Linked DNA regions of Canis lupus familiaris. Each later gene encodes a partner of the first gene's protein in a complex. Links are inferred from orthologs where the notes say so. Each region holds a gene or a part of one and is shown on either strand. Other genes may lie near its edges.

The links.
Region 2: DDX46 (region 1) and SF3B3 share a complex: the UniProt entries of both Homo sapiens proteins name them as parts of the 17S U2 SnRNP complex. The link is inferred for Canis lupus familiaris from reciprocal best matches to the Homo sapiens genes DDX46 and SF3B3.
Region 3: DDX46 (region 1) and HTATSF1 share a complex: the UniProt entries of both Homo sapiens proteins name them as parts of the 17S U2 SnRNP complex. The link is inferred for Canis lupus familiaris from reciprocal best matches to the Homo sapiens genes DDX46 and HTATSF1.

The regions. Positions count from the first base shown.
Region 1 is NC_049232.1:22,846,715-22,852,243, forward strand, and holds the start of DDX46 (probable ATP-dependent RNA helicase DDX46), read left to right. Parts: upstream 1-1,808; 5' UTR 1,809-1,983; coding exon 1,984-2,000; intron 2,001-5,098; coding exon 5,099-5,287; intron 5,288-5,529. UniProt on the Homo sapiens protein: Component of the 17S U2 SnRNP complex of the spliceosome, a large ribonucleoprotein complex that removes introns from transcribed pre-mRNAs.
Region 2 is NC_049226.1:77,097,908-77,102,747, reverse strand, and holds part of SF3B3 (splicing factor 3B subunit 3), read right to left. Parts: intron 4,681-4,840; coding exon 4,525-4,680; intron 3,748-4,524; coding exon 3,592-3,747; intron 3,077-3,591; coding exon 2,933-3,076; intron 1-2,932. UniProt on the Homo sapiens protein: Component of the 17S U2 SnRNP complex of the spliceosome, a large ribonucleoprotein complex that removes introns from transcribed pre-mRNAs.
Region 3 is NC_049260.1:107,799,163-107,804,533, reverse strand, and holds the start of HTATSF1 (HIV Tat-specific factor 1), read right to left. Parts: upstream 3,235-5,371; 5' UTR 2,966-3,234; intron 2,773-2,965; 5' UTR 2,711-2,772; coding exon 2,525-2,710; intron 817-2,524; coding exon 636-816; intron 1-635. UniProt on the Homo sapiens protein: Component of the 17S U2 SnRNP complex of the spliceosome, a large ribonucleoprotein complex that removes introns from transcribed pre-mRNAs.

The DNA of each region.
Region 1 (5,529 bases):
AGGCAGACGCTCAGCCGCTGAGCCACCCAGGTGTCCCTAGTATCTCCATGTTTAAGTCATTAGTGGTTTCCTATTTCTCTGAGACTGAAACCCACACTTGTTACCTTTAGCCTACTGACAAGCAAGGTAGAATGGTTCTGATATGTGCTCTCCATTATGTCAGGCATCAGCCCCGTGCCTCTTTTGCCCTGGGCATGGATTGTACTGCTGCTACAGATGGGCAGGAAGGCACAGAAGAAGAACAGAAGCTCTTCAGTTTCTTTTTTTAAAATCAAATTTATTGAGATGAAATTTACATACAGTAAAATGTGCCAATTTTAAGTTTACAATTCAATGAGTTTTGACAAATGTGTACATTCATGCATCAGCTGCCACAATTACAACCTAGAACTTTTCGGGGATGCCTCAGGGCTCAGTGGTTGAGTTTCTGTCTTTAGCTTAGGTTGTGATTCCAGGGTCCTGAATGAAGTCCTGAATCAGGCTCCCTTCATGGAGCCTGCTTCTCCCTCTGCCTATGTCGCTGCCTCTCTCTCTCTATCTCTCATAAGTAAATAAGTAAATAAATATTTTAAAAAAGCAGTCTACAACTCTTCTTCCTTAAGTATAAAAAAGTAAAATCGTAGAGGCATGTAAACTATGACAGCCTCTCTCTTAACTGCATTACAGCTTTGCATCAAAGCAGCACTTAACATTTCTGTATGTTCTGCTAGGTGAGTCATTCTCAATCTTAAGTGTACTTCAGAATCACCTAAGAAGCTTAAACATCCCAGTGCATAGGAGGCACTCCAGACCGAGTATATCAGAATATTGGTATGGAACACATGCATACATGTGTGTGTGTGTATATATATATATATATATAATTTTTTAAGATGTTATTTTTAGGTAATCTCCATACCTGGCCTGAGGCTTGAACTCGTCTCTCTGAGATCAAGAGTCACATGCTCTATAGACAGCCACCCAGATGCCCCATCATGTATTTTTTTTTAAAGCTTCCAAGCTCAGGGAATGTTGAGAATCACTATAATTTTAGGAATATATTCTTAGCTCTTCTTCCTCTTCTCCACCAACTTAACTCCTACTCAATCTTCACATCTCACCTTAAAGGTCACATCCTCAGGGAACTCTTTCTAAACCTCTCCCTTATGCTGTAATCTCTCTCTCTCTCTCTCTCTTTTTGTATTACATTTGCTTGTGTTTTTATGTCTATATCCCCCACTAACTTGTACTCCCTGGATGTAGGACGGACGTAACCCACACACACAACAATACATACCAATGGGACGCCTGGGTGGCTCAGCTGTTTGGCGCCTGCCTTAGGCCCAGGGTATGTTCCTGGGGTCTTGGGATCGAGTCCCACGTTGAGCTCCCCGCATGGAGCCTGCTTCTCCTTCTGCTTGTGTCTCTGCCCGCCCCCCCCCCCCCGTTTCTCTCATAAATAAATAAATAAATAAAACGTTTAAAACAAAAACAATACATATCAATGAATGTAATATAAATGAATGAAAGTGAATGGAGATGTTGGTAGCATCACTCAGCGCAGATTAAGGGGGACAGTATTATAGGTCGGGAATGCATACGGCGCCTCGGTAGCCCTTGGAGGAAAGATCTTCCCAGGGCCTGCAAAGCCAAGGCATCTTCCTCCACCGCACCAAAGCGCACAGACAGACCTTCTAGGCACTGCAGGGAAAACCCAGCCAAGGTCGCGCGCCTCTCGGCGCGGCCGGCGCAGTGCGGCCTCCAGCCCAGAGGGGGCGCTGTGGAGAGCCAGCAGCTTCCGGCCCGCTTGTCCCGTCTCTCTGCCGCGGCGCCCGCACGTCCTGTTTTCGTTGGCCGCTCTCGGATGGCCGCTGCAGCTGTATTTGCTGCTCCCTCTTAGTGCCTGCTACTCGCCGGGCTGGCCGAGGGCGGCGGGGCCTCCTTCTTTGTTCGGTTCTTCCGTGCATCGTCCCGAGGGGAGCCGCTGTCGGCGCGGGCGGCACCATGGGCCGGGAGTCGCGGTGAGACGGCGCGCCTAGCGGCCGAGCGGCGGGCGGCGTCCCCGGGGTGGGGGAAGAGGCGGGAGTTGAGGTGGCGGCGGGACCAGGCCTGAGCCGGTGCAGCCCCACGTGCGGCCAGCGCGGCCCGCGGCCCGCGGAGCGGCAGGGGGGCCTCGGCCGAGAGAGTGGCTGTCCTTGGGCCGGTGACGGTCACTGGGTTCCCAGCACTGCCATGGCCCGTTGCAGCGCCTGGAGCGGAGCCGCCCCTCCCGGGGGTCAGTGATGGGCACCACGTCCCGCCATTTCCGCGGGGCCCACCGTAATCCCGCAGTCACTAGTGATCCCCGTTGAAGTTCTTAGCAGTTCGCGTTTGCCACGTTTTCTGGGCGCCTGTTGCTATTTTAGTTCTTTGTGCGTGTCTCGTATTTTCTCAAGTCAGTCGAAAGGAGCCGAAGACTACGTATTTTTACATCACCTACAACATTGAACATGACTAGCCTTTTAGCAGGTTACAATACATGCTTGTGGCATGGAGATTATGTCGCAGATATATATCATATTTCTTTATTAGGTGTTTTCTATCCTATTAAAATTGTGGATTGGGGGGGAGGTCTTACTAGAATTATGGTATCTCTTCAAAACTTTAGATTGTTACGTGGTTTGGGACCTTGAGGCTTTTATCTTAGAGATGAATGTTTGCTGTGTATTTAGCAGTGAGTGAAAGGTCCTTTTTATCTGAGATATAAGTAATGAGTAAAGTAATAGTAGTTTATTGAAGTACAGTGAACGTTCAGGGAAATGGACAAAGCTTAAGGATAGAGAGCTGGATGAAAATTTAACAAATCCATAATCTGTGTAACCATCACCTGGATAAAGAGAATTTCTTTGTTTACAGAGAATCCCTGTGAAGATCTTCTAAAATTTCCTTGAAGGCTATTTATCTGGCTATGCAGACCAGGAACCTGGAAGTGATTATTTATTTGATTCATTTTTCTCTCTTAACTGTCTAAACCCAGTAAGATTCTACACTCTGTTTTCATTCTTGCTCTCCCTAACCTAATTCCAGCCCTGATCATTTAGTACTCAGAATGCTACACTTGCCTCAAATTATCTTCCTGTGATCTTGCTCTTCTAAAAATTCCTCACACTGCCGCCAGAGTGATACTTCTAGAATAAAGATTATGCCATTCCTCTCTTTTCATCTGCATTGATTCTCATTGCCTCCAGGATGAAGTCAGACTCTTCAGCACAGCCTTCAGGGCCCATCTCAAGGAAGCCTCTTATAGCCCCCCCCCCCCCCCTTGTGCTCTAGGTTAATTCAAGAAGTTATGAAAGGCTCAGAGGTGGGATGGAGCAAGGTGTTTGAGAAATAAGAGCCTAGTTTGCCTACATATATAGGTGTCATGAAGAAAAGTGGTAGGAGATAGGTTCTGGAAGGGAATTGGGTCCAGAATGTGAGTGGATTGTAGATTTAGTTTTGAAGGTTAGAATTTGAGAGTCTTTGAAGGTTTTGAGTAAGAAATGTGTACCTATGTTAATATAATGTGGTCAGAACTCTGTTTTACAAAGATTACTGTAGCAGCAACGAGTAAAACATTTCAGGGAAAAGGGCTTAGAAGTAAGAAGACAGAGATCTTCTAAAATGTCCTAACTAGAAAGCTCTGATGTGGAATAGTGAGTGAGAACTCTGAGGAGGTGATAATAGTGTGCAGAGAATTTACAGAAGTGAAATTAGTGATACTTCATGTTCTATTAGTTGTGTAGAATGAGAAAAATACTGAAAGTAACTGGTATTTTGAGCCTACTGACTACAAGTTGGGATGATAAATGGCTTGGGGAGGCAAAGGTAGTAAGTTTGGGTTTTACACATTGAATTTCAGGTGCTTGAGGGATGATGTGGTGCGCTTATTCCCTAGCCATCTTATCCATGTTTATTGCTTTAAGTAACCTTTGTATACTGATGATTCCCTTCAACTCTAGACTCGTGTTGCAACTACCTACTTACATATCCATGGGAATGCCTAATATCCTGATTCCCACCCACCCCCCAACATGTGTTCCTTCAGGCTTCCCATCTTAATAAATAGCAATTTTATCTTTCTGCCCAGTCCAGCCACGTAGCTCAGAAACACCCATGAATTCTCCCTTGCTGTCACGCTTGGCATTGAATTAATCCTTAAATCAGGCAGTTCTAGTTTGAAAATCTCTAGATTTTGACACGTCCTAGAAACTCTCCACCTAACATTCTCATCCAATGCACCACTTTCTTACTTGGATGATTGTGTTAGCATTCTGCCTGTTTTCCCTGCTTCTGCCCTTGGCTTCAATTTGCTCTCCCCTCAGCAGCCAGACCAGTGCTTTAAAAATATTAGTGAGGTAACATTACTTCTGCACTTAGAATCTTCCAGTAACTTCTCAACTTACAGAGAGTGAAAGAAAAAATCCTTAGAATCGCCTCTAAGGCTCTACAGGGCCTTCCATGTTTGGCTGCCCTACTGTATCTCTCACCTCATCACATGGCACTCTCTCTTGGTTGTTGAGCCTTAGCCACATCTGCCTTCCTTGCTGTTTCTTGAGCACACCAGTCAAGCTTCCTCCTCAGGGACTTTGCATTTGCAGTACCTTTTGCCTGAAAAGTTTCTCCCCCCTGTATCTTCAAGGTTCCTTTTATTTTCTTCAAACCTCTGAAATATCTGTTGATTGGCAAGTTTTTCTCTTACCACCTGGTATAAAATAGCAAACCTGTGCCCCGTCGTCTCTCTCTTCATTTACTCTGATGTGTTTTTCTCCATAGCACCACATGATGTATTGTGTATTTATTGCTTTAGTTGTCTCTCATCTCTTCATTTACCAGAATGCAAGTTGCTTAGGGCCCCAAGGCAGGAGTTTGGTCTATTCTAAAATTTTTGCTGTCCTTGCTTCCTTTTCAGTATAGTTTTTTCCTGTCTACACAGACTGTAGATAGCTACAGGCATCATTCCTTTCCCCAGATTTTAAGAGTTGATGAATAAAAAGTCATTTCAGTGTTTGTCTGTTAAGATCTTTCGGGGAAAATCTGAGTAATTAAATATAGAAGCTACCTGTGTTTGCTAAACCTAATCTTGAACTTAACATTCTAGCCACTATCGAAAGCGATCAGCATCAAGGGGGCGCTCTGGAAGTCGTTCTAGAAGTCGCTCACCCTCAGACAAAAGAAGTAAACGTGGAGATGACAGACGGTCTAGAAGCAGAGATAGAGATAGAAGGAGAGAGAGGTCTCGTAGCAGAGATAAAAGAAGATCTCGGTCAAGAGACCGGAAGCGCCTGAGGTAAGACTAGTTTCCTAAAAATGATAAAGTGGGCCTTCTCAGGTAAATCAGGCTTCTTCAAAAGTGGAATTTAGTGGCCCCTTTGTGGGCATTCTCCTTAAACCCAGTTCATTTGATGAGGTCCAGAGGTGATTTGCCTGAAGCAAAGACTATTAAACGGTGTTTTAAGTTTGGAAACGTTAGGCTATATTTCTTGTAATCCAGAGAGAATCCCCAGAGTCCCCTGAGAAAGGTGGTTTTAT
Region 2 (4,840 bases), on another chromosome or scaffold:
AGTTCTAGGGCAAGAATATTCCAGATATATACAGGGGCACTCTACCGTACCATAAGGAGGGAAGCACCCAAAGATAATGGCATCATGTTAAAAGGACAAAAAAGCTAACTTCAAAAGGGAACTCCAACTCCCACCCATCTAAAATGATGGCAATTTAGCATCCAAAAATGAGAAAAGACCATAATAGTTTAAAGCATAAATATATAAAAATCTGCAATTTTATGTTATCAAAGAGAGAGAGAGAAAGAGAGAGAGAGAGAGAGAGAGAAATAGATTTCTTGAGCCCCCATTGGAGATTGCTACGGCACCAACTCTTTACTGTGAAAATAAGATGAACAAGGGGAAAAACAAAGTATTTATCCTTTCCCTATACGAACTATACTTTGGGGTAAGCAAATTTTGTCTTCAGAGACAAGTTCCAGCTAAAGAAATGAAGATGAAACAGAAAATCGGGGCAGCCCGGGTGGCTCAGTGGTTTAGCGCTGCTTTCAGCCCAAGGCCTGATCCTGAAGACCGGGGATCAAGTCCCGCGTCAGGCTCCCTGGATGGAGCCTGCGTCTCCCTCTGCCTGTGTCTCTGCCTCTCTCTCTCTCTCTCTCTCTCTCTCTCTCTCTCTCTCGCGCTCATAAATAAAAGCTTTAAAAAAAAAAAAAAAAAGAAAGAAAGAAACAGAAAATCGTCATTTCCCAATCCCTAATGACATAATGAATCTAGGCAATGGGCATCGACAGCTGCTGCTAGGTAAAAGGTTGACAGGGAGCAAATAATTTAAAATACATACAAACATCTTAACACCATTACAAGTAGGATAGCCAGACATTACATGCCTCCTGATATAATAGAAAGTAAAGAGTGCCACTTATTGGGCCCCCCCAAAAATAATAAATCTGGGGCAGCCTGGATGGCTCAGAGGTTTAACGCCACCTTCAGCCCAGGGTGTGATCCTGGGGGCCCGGGATCGAGTCCCACATCGGGCTCCCTGCGTGGAGCCTGCTTCTCCCTCTGCCTGTCTCTGTCTCTGCCTCTCTCTCTCATGAATAAATAAAAAATATTTTAAAAATAAGACTTTGTTCAAAAAGAGAGAACATGAGTTATGTTAATTTTTATAGTGATTACAAATTGAAATGACATTTAAAATATACTGGGTTAAAGAAAACATTAAGATTAACCTCATCTGTTCCCTTTTTGTGGCTACTTGAGTATTTAAATTACACATGTGACTTGCATTATATTTTTAATGAATAGCATGGTCTAGACTCACCCAATAGTTTACAAGAAATAGAGGATAGATAAACATCAAACACACAAGGAAGGACTCTGCCAAAGCCAGCAGGTAGAAATTCAAGAAAATGATCTAGTTTCTGGGGATCCCTGGGTGGTGCAGCGGTTTAGCGCCTGCCTTTGGCCCAGGGTGTGATCCTGGAGACCCGGGATCGAAACCCACGTCGGGCTCCTGGTGCATGGAGCCTGCTTCTTCCTCTGCCTGTGTCTCTGCCTCTCTCTCTCTCTCTCTCTCTCTGTGACTATCATAAAATAAATAAAAATTAAAAAAAAAAATGATCTAGTTTCTTTAAAAAAAAAAAAACTTAATGGAGTAGAATTTATTAAAAGAAACATAAAGGGATAGATCACACAGATGCAAACTACAGATAGCTTTATGCAGATCCTAGGTAGAACTAAAGTCAAAAACATTTCTGGAAAAACAAAAACGAAACAAGAAAAACCAGAACACAAACAGGTATCAGATATTAAAGAACTGTTAAGTTGTATTAGGCATGATAATAAAATTGAAGCCTAAAAAGAAAACCCATAAATCTGGTAGAGCTACATTCTCAAGATTTATCGATGAAATGATAAATCACCTTGGATTTGCTTTAACATATCCCAGAAGAAAGAAAAAACAAAGAATAGATAAAACAAGAACAGTAGAATGTTGGTTAACTATTAAAACGAGTGATGGAGGGCAGCCTGCGTGGCTCGGCGGTTTGGCGCCGCCTTCAGCCCGGTGCCTGATTCTGGAGACCCAGGATCGAGTCCCAAATCGGGCTCCCTGCAGGGAGCCTGCTTCTCCCTCTGCCTGTGTCTCTGCTTTCTCTGTGGGTCTCTCATAAATAAAGAAATAAAATCCTTAAAAAAATAAAAATACAATAAAAAAATAAAACAAGTGATGGGTACATGTTACATTAGTCTAACTCCTGTGCATGTTTGAGAAATTTCTCAATTAGGAAGTAATTGAGAAATAGCAAGACATAGCAGGGCTAGATTATTTACCCAGGGAGCTGAACAAATAATCATTAAGGAAAACGAAAAGTGTATCGTCAAAAACACTGACACTCTGCTATCCTTAGGTTGCTGCTTTTCATGCTCTGAAAAGCCCCAATGCTTTGACAACAGTAAACATCTAGGGGTCCTTTATTACTAAAGGAGTCCGTTATAAAACAAAAGGTATTAGTTTCCAAAAGCTGCATATTGTGAAAACTGCAGATGACACTTCAGACTCCCTCTAGTTCTGACCCAAAGCAGTGATCACATTTATATCAAAGACTCTTTCTTTATGAAAGTATCTTTTCCTAGGCCTGACCTTTCTGATTAGTACTAAGAGAAAAGGAACACACAGCAGCACCATTCAGTTTTCATAAGGTGGTAAACTGAACAGGCTCAGCAAATGCCCATATTGAACAAGGACTGCATAAAAGCTAAAGACGACCTGACATCAACAATGCTCATCTGCCTTCAGTTCAGGGTGTGATCCCAGCGTCCTGAGATCGAGTCTCCCATTGGGCTCCCAGGAAGGAGCCTGCTTCTCCCTCAGCCTATGTCTCTGCCTCTCTCTGTGTATCTCTCATGAATGAAGAAGTAAAAAAAAAAATTTTAAATAAAAATAAAAAACAAAACAACAAAAAAACAACAATGTGAGCCTTGGATCTCTTACCTGCAACCCAATATTCAGGTATAGGAAGCCAATAGAGCCCCTCTCACCCAGTTCATCTTGCTTCTCAGTTCCACCCATTTCCACAATACACAAGGACTCAGGCTGGGCTGGGAGAGCCTGCATGCTCAGGGGCTGCAAACAGTCCTAAGGAGGAAAGAGAAAAGAATAAAACATGGGAAATAACCAATTTTGGAAAAATCTAATTTGAGGAGTGAAGAAACAACTTTCTTGTGGATAGGGGAATCTTACAGAGTGAGTTCTAAATGGGTTACTACTAGTTAAACCAAATGTTAGAATAAGCTCTAGAAAGAACCATGCTTTCCTTTCCATAAAAGTGGATAACGGTAAATGTAAATAAGCAAAGGGCACTTATTCTTATCTAAGGTCCAAAGCCAGTCTGATTCCTTTTCTGCAAAGTCTTTGGGTTTTGTTTAACTATAAAAGGGAGTCAAGGCTTAAGGTAAGGAAGCACTTAGTAGTCTGGGATTAGGATCTTTAAAGTACTGCAGAAGACTCCTGAGGTGTGCTGCTATGATAATCACAAGTGGCAGATGCTGATTTCAGGGGCTAACCTAGCTGATCCCAGAAATGCCCATCAGGAATGGGCCAGCAGCTCAGATTCCAGTGAGAAGATCCTTGAAGTCCAGGGTAACACTCACTGAGGGGTCCAGAGAGATGATTCTGACAGTATTGTCCACCAGCCCCACAGCCAGGAAGCGAGACCGTTGTTCTCCAGGAGGCACATTGGCCAGACTCATGCACACCACGTCTGCTGACATCTCCTTCCGCTCTGTGTACTCATTCAGCTGTCCTGACTACATAAATGAAACAGAGAGAGGTGACAAACCACTCCAACTCGCCCCTAAACCCTGGGCCTAGGAAAGGAAGAGGTACTGTTAAATTCCTTTGTGCTTCCTCTCACTCCTCTTATTATAATCAATGACCAAGCATTTCTCTACTTAAGATCCCAAGACTGAACTCTACAGGCTAACAGCAAGCAAAATTACTGACAAGACACTCAAGGGACAACACAGTATCTTTGTCTTTGACAAATACAATATGCTTGCTACAAATTTCCTAAAGCAAATAGAAATACAGAAAACTGCTTATCTGTTCATGAGAATACTTTTTGGTGAAAGAGAATTCAAATATGGAACTTAAAAGACAAAGAAATCTCAATCAGAGGTACAGTTAGACTATCAGGTTAGCCACAGCCAGAAACTTCCCGAGACTGATAATTAAATATATCCAGCATCCTTCCATACAGAAAAGCAAAAGCAAATTTCTGAAATGGCTTCAGATTACAAAAACTGAATAAAACCCATGGCCAATATTTGGTGGAAAAGTAGAGTGTGAAGGGCAAAAAAAACAAGTACTTCACTACTAAGATGGGATTTCGTAACTCCAGTTAGAATTACAACATGAACTTACCCTTCCCATCCCATACCCACCCCCAAATAGCTGGACTGCCTTACGTATACTTTCCCTCCTCAATTCTTTTTGTGAATATCATCTAAATACCAAACTACAACTCTCATGTTTACCTCTAAACCCGAACACTAAGTCCCACAATGAATGATAAAATAACATACAGGATCCATCTCAAAATAGACCAGCTCTCCTCCTGTCAGGGCGATCACCACTTGTCGCTGATTCACTGCACATTTTACAATCGTTTTCTTTCCAGGAGTCTTCCACTCATTGACTCGCTTGTCTGCTCGTATATGTCGAATGCCATCAGGATATACCTAGTCAGTGACCAGAAGGAAACTGGACTTTACCAATGTGACTCATTGCTCAGCATGTCCCCCTCACCTCTCAGACTGGTCACTCTTGTCAGAGTGGAGCCACTGCATTTGAGTTGCCCCTTGTGAGTCAATGACAAAAAAGAGTTACCAGGGCCCAGAC
Region 3 (5,371 bases), on another chromosome or scaffold:
GGGACACCTGGGTGGCTCAGCAGTTGAGCACCTGCCTTTGGCTCAGGATGTAATCCTGGGGTCCCAGGATCGAGTCCCACACTGGGCTCCCTACATGGAGCGTGCTTCTCCCTCTGCCTATGTCTCTGAACTCCTCTCTCTGTCTCTCATGAATAAATAAATAAAATCTTTAAAAAAATGAAAAAGGATGGCTAGTTATGTTAGATATTTATGATTCTGATACTACCTTAAAAAAACTCATCCTTGCACTGACTTTGGGCCTGCATGCATAAATTGCTTCTGACTTCAATCTACTGTGTTGGATATGGCCAAGCTGAGGCAATACTGCCTTGAGTTCAATTTAATTAAACTCAAAAAATATCAGAAAATTACCTTAAAAAACAGAATTTCTGATGATCCCCTAATAACAGCTCTATTTTACAAAGGAAGAAACTGAGGTACAGAATTGAAATAGCCTCCCCAATGCCCACAAGTCAGTGTGCAAGCCAATGGATAAATCTAAATAATAATAATAAAAAAACCCTTCATCTTATGATTCCTTCAAGACTATTATAATTCTTCAAATAGTAATCATATATACACATGCTAACATTTAACATTTTTATGTTCATATTTTGCAAGCTAAATCCACTTGCCTGGTTCAGCCTTTCTCTTTTCTCCCCTCTTTTTGGGATCATTGGGTTCAGGGGTTTTTCTTTGTGGCGGTTCTTCTGCAGTCCTAGCACTGACTTCTTGCACATTTGCAGTAGAGCTAGATGCCCCCTCATTAGAAAAGCCATAATTGGCCTGATATGTAGCAATGAAATCTTCAGTGATCTAAACAAAAAATTCAGCACACACACATATAGAAATTTGAAAATGACTTCTTCCCATAAAAAGTGTACATTGTGATAAATTTCTGCATATTTGGTTATACAACTGAACACAGAAATGTTTCTACAGATAATGGCTGTAGTAAATAAAGTGTAAATGCAAGAATAGTCATGTTATACAGAAAATGTGCATAAAATGACAAAAAAAAATAAGATGGGTATTTGGATTATCAACACAAAACTCTTAAGGAAATTATTGGCACTGTAAGTGGTGTTGGCGCATTTTCTAGTTGATTCATTTATAAATCACTACCTCTCTACAGTCTACTTGAGTAAGGCTACAAGTACATACAATAAAGGAAGTACCAGATAACAATATAACAAAAACCAACAGTCAATAACCTAACAACAGAATCAATTTTTCTTTTGCTACAGAGATACACAAAAGTATACACGCATTAAATATTTGAGTGTCTGTATGTAGAGAACACACAAGATAAAACTGATTTAGTATATAGAGAATAGAACTAACGATTGTAAAACTAAATGCTTATTTTCACTCTCTCACTAATTAAATGACACAATCTTTTAGTGTCAGAACAAACTAAGAACAAATTCAACTCACATCCATCTATCCTCCTGGCTTTTAGGGGAAAAAAAGCCCAGTTGCACAATGAAAGAAATAGGAGTCTGCCTTCATTCTGGTCAATGTTACGCACATACAGGAGTGGGGAATTTTTAAAACTCAAAGTTTCAAGAGGTATGGGTTTCAATAACATAAAAAGATAAGAGTCACAAATGAATCCATTATCAGACTATTGTTAAAAGTCCTCAGGAAACCAAATCTGCTCTGGAGCTGGGATGACCAGAACCAGCAAAATAATAAATGTAACAATGTAAAGGGAATGAAGTATACAAAAACAAAAAGGAAAATAAAAAAATTGAAACAAATAATTTTAAGAATAACAGTCAAACTACACAATGGAGACATGGCTTATATTACCAGCTTGCAAGTTGATTGCTACTGGTATATTTTCCCACCCACATGAGACTTTGATTAACAGGGTACTTTTGCTGAAAAGTTTGCAGAACCAAGTTAACACCGGTTACATTACTTACAACCTGGAATAAAATACTTAACAATTTCCAAGCACTCTACACAAATATACACAGATATCTTCTATCCATATTCCGTGCCTGTGGTTGTATGGTTCGAACACACATGCCTAGGGACAAAATCTGATAGGAAAGAGAGGTGCAGATCAAGTTCAATCTATAAAGGGATATAAATGGCTATTTTTTTTTCAAAACCAAGAAGCTGCATTTTGCACAAAGTACACAAGCTAAGCAAACATCAGAATTCCTAGGGTATATGAGGTTGGCTATCCAAGAGACCCACAGCTACTAAATTTGCTCTCGGTGTTTTTCCTCTTTGCAATAAAAAGCAGTAACCAATGCAATAACCAACCATGACCTTCACAGACAAAATTAATAAGGCATAGAAGAGATTTAAGAATTAAATTACATTCGAGACATCTCGGTAAAGATCTACGTTTCTCTAACATCGGTTCGGCAACAGAAACAACAAAAAGAAACGTCACTATCCATGGGGCCCTAACTCAAGACCTCAGCAAAGAAAAACGGAAAAGGGGCGCCCCGCGAGGCTGGCCAGGCGGGCCCGCTCTGCAGTGCCGCCCGTGCCACCGTCGTACCTTGGGGAACCAAGCCTTCTTGTCCAGGTCCCACTCGTACGGGGTGTCAGCCGGCTGCTGCCCGAAAGAATCGGGTTCTCCACTGGGATCTTTCTGGGTGTCGCCGTCCTTGGCGTCGCCGTACAATTCTTGCATTCGCAACTGCTCATCAAACTCGTCGTTCCCATCCAAGTTGTTGCCGCTCATGTTGCCGACTTAGGCAAGGGACAGGGTCCGCGCGAGCAAAGAGGCCGAGATGCAGCCGGAGGCTATAGAGAAAGGGAGGTCAGTCGCACTGGGCCCGCGTCCCGCCGCCCCCCGGCACGCCTCCCCGCGGCGCCCCAGCAGCCCCCGGGAGGTCGGGGCCGACCGGCGCCCGCGCCGCCCCCTGCTCCGCCCGCTCTCCCACCGCGCGCGCGCGCGCGCGCCGCAGGCTGCAGCCCCTGCCGCGCCGCCGCCCACCTGGCTCGCTCCACCGGGCCTCGGCGCCGCGGCTCGACCCAGGGCGTGGCGGGAGCGCGCACGCGCGCCGCCGCCGCCCCCGCCGCCGACCGGGTCGGAGTCGCCTGCAGCCTCTGCAACCCCCGCGGCTCCCGCGGCTCCCGCGGCCCCCGTGGCCCTCGCGGCAACGTCAAGAGGTTGCCGGAAAACTGAGGCCCGCTCAGGCTGACGCAGTCGCCATTGTTGGCACGTCGAGACGTCGCGGGTCGCGCCGACACGCCTCCAGTGGCGTCAATAAGCGCCGACGCGGGCGGGCAGTGCTGGACCCTAGGGGCGGGGCGTCTTGCGGGGAGCGCTGCTAATCGCCCGCCGCTGCCCACCCGGGCCTCCTGGGCGGGGCGGGGCGGGGCGGGGTGGGGGCGCGGGGGCCGCTGCGCTTAGGGACCTCGGGCTCGGTGGAGGCCGCGGTGGGCGGCAGCCGGAGGCGTGGGAATGTTCCCACTCGGCGCGCGCCATCTTGGGGGAGTGGATGGGGCGGGCGGGACGGATTTGTGTTCCTGAGAAAAAGACAGGCCTCCTTCCCCCGTTCCGCTTGGGAAACGCGACTTTGGCTTATTTCTTTATGATTTCCCTAGGATGGGCGCCGGCTCTTGTTCAGCTTCTTGGCCTAAGCTCCCAGCCCAGGGTGTGGTGTCTAGTGCGTATTGAATGAGCGAGTGAGCAAATGAATGAATGAATGAATGAACGAACGAACGGGGTGGGGACCAACCTTCTTTTCCCAGCCTGAGGCCCCTCCTTTATCTCTGGTACTTTCTCAGGCTGAAGATCGACTCTGGAAAGGCGGAGGGGGACAGGGGGGAGCAGTAGTTTTCTGCCTCTTGTACGCCACGATTCAGAGGTGCTCAAGCTCCAAACCTGAAACTTAAAACATCCAAGTATAAGCACCAGCTTTACTGGCCCAGCAACTTCGGGTTTTTTGTCTTTCTTTTAGAAAAGTACAGAATATTTTCCCTCTACACAGCTTTTTATCAAATTACATATTTATCGTAGAAAATAAAAAGGTCTGTATTTTTTTTTAATCGGGCAGATATTTATTGAGCAACCAAATGCCAGGGACTGTGCTAGGCTCTGGCGAGCCAGCAGCCAACAACACAGGCACAGCTCAAGGGAGACGTACTTGTTTATGTAGATGATTCTATCAACATTTGTTGTAGTAAAAACAACAGTTTAAAAGGGTTTTTAAAAATCCCTTTAAAAATAACAATGATAAACTTCTTATGTACAAACGTAAAATTTTATAAACCAGACGTGAGGGTAAAAAGCTTACCAGAAGAAATTAGTTCTGCTATCCCAGTGATCTTTTACTTCTAAATATAGCAGTTGCGTATGGGCTCTAGAAAATCTTAACTCCCCAAATACCGACTGTGAGAATATGGTTTCAACCCTTAAAGCGATTTTTAAATAGTAGCTTGGGTTTGAGTTGGTTTTTTTTTTTTTTAAGTACATTTCTTTTTCATGAAGTTCTTGTTCTGTTCCAGACTACAGGAGAACTGAACTTGCATGCTTTTTTATATATATAATATAGATAACATGAGTTTTATTAGGCTCACTTATTTAAGCATTGCTAAGTATTTCTTCCTGGATCCCAAAATAGTGTACAGCTGTTTTCAGCAATGTGTTATTGGGCTCCCATTTCATTCCTGAGTGAGTTCACAGCATAGGTGATAATATGTTACACAGCCCTACTACTGCTCGTGACCCTCTGAATGCCTGCTGTATCCACAGGCCCCTCTGAACAGGTGGCCAAAAAAATTCCTTATGCGTAGGTCCCATGTGACCCAGCCACTGTGGCCCACAGGCTGCCCAGAGGCCTGTGAGGTGACCTGATAGGGTAGCCCTGCATCCTAGACTGAATTTGGCTATATGAGCCAATAAACTGCCTTGTCTAGAGACTGGAATGAGTATGGAATGGGCAGGGACATGGTCAGAGTAGCACAGAGGCAGGGAGGCCCACATAGGCAACCTAATAAGCAGAACAGAGGCCTGCTGTGAAGAAGTTCCCCAGAGGTGAGAAGAGAAGCTGAGGAAGGGACAGAGGGTCACTGAGTCACCATAATAATGGAGCAGTGGAGTTGGGAGCTAAGCACATTTGTGCCTACAGTGGCATTCTGTTTGGCCATGAGACCTGACTATTGTTTTTGCTTTAACAATGCTATTGTCTCTATGAGGCCTGGTTCCTGTGTGTTATCTCCCTGTGTTCTCCCTGGTAACTGAGGTAGTCTGTAAGCCTCTCTGTAATCTTTTTCAAGATTTTTTGCAAGTTACAGAAACACTCAAGGTAACAAGCAAAACAAAACAAAACAACCTATATATTTCTTACAATGATGAAGATAGCACCTGAAATTCCAGGATTGAAATGTAGATGGG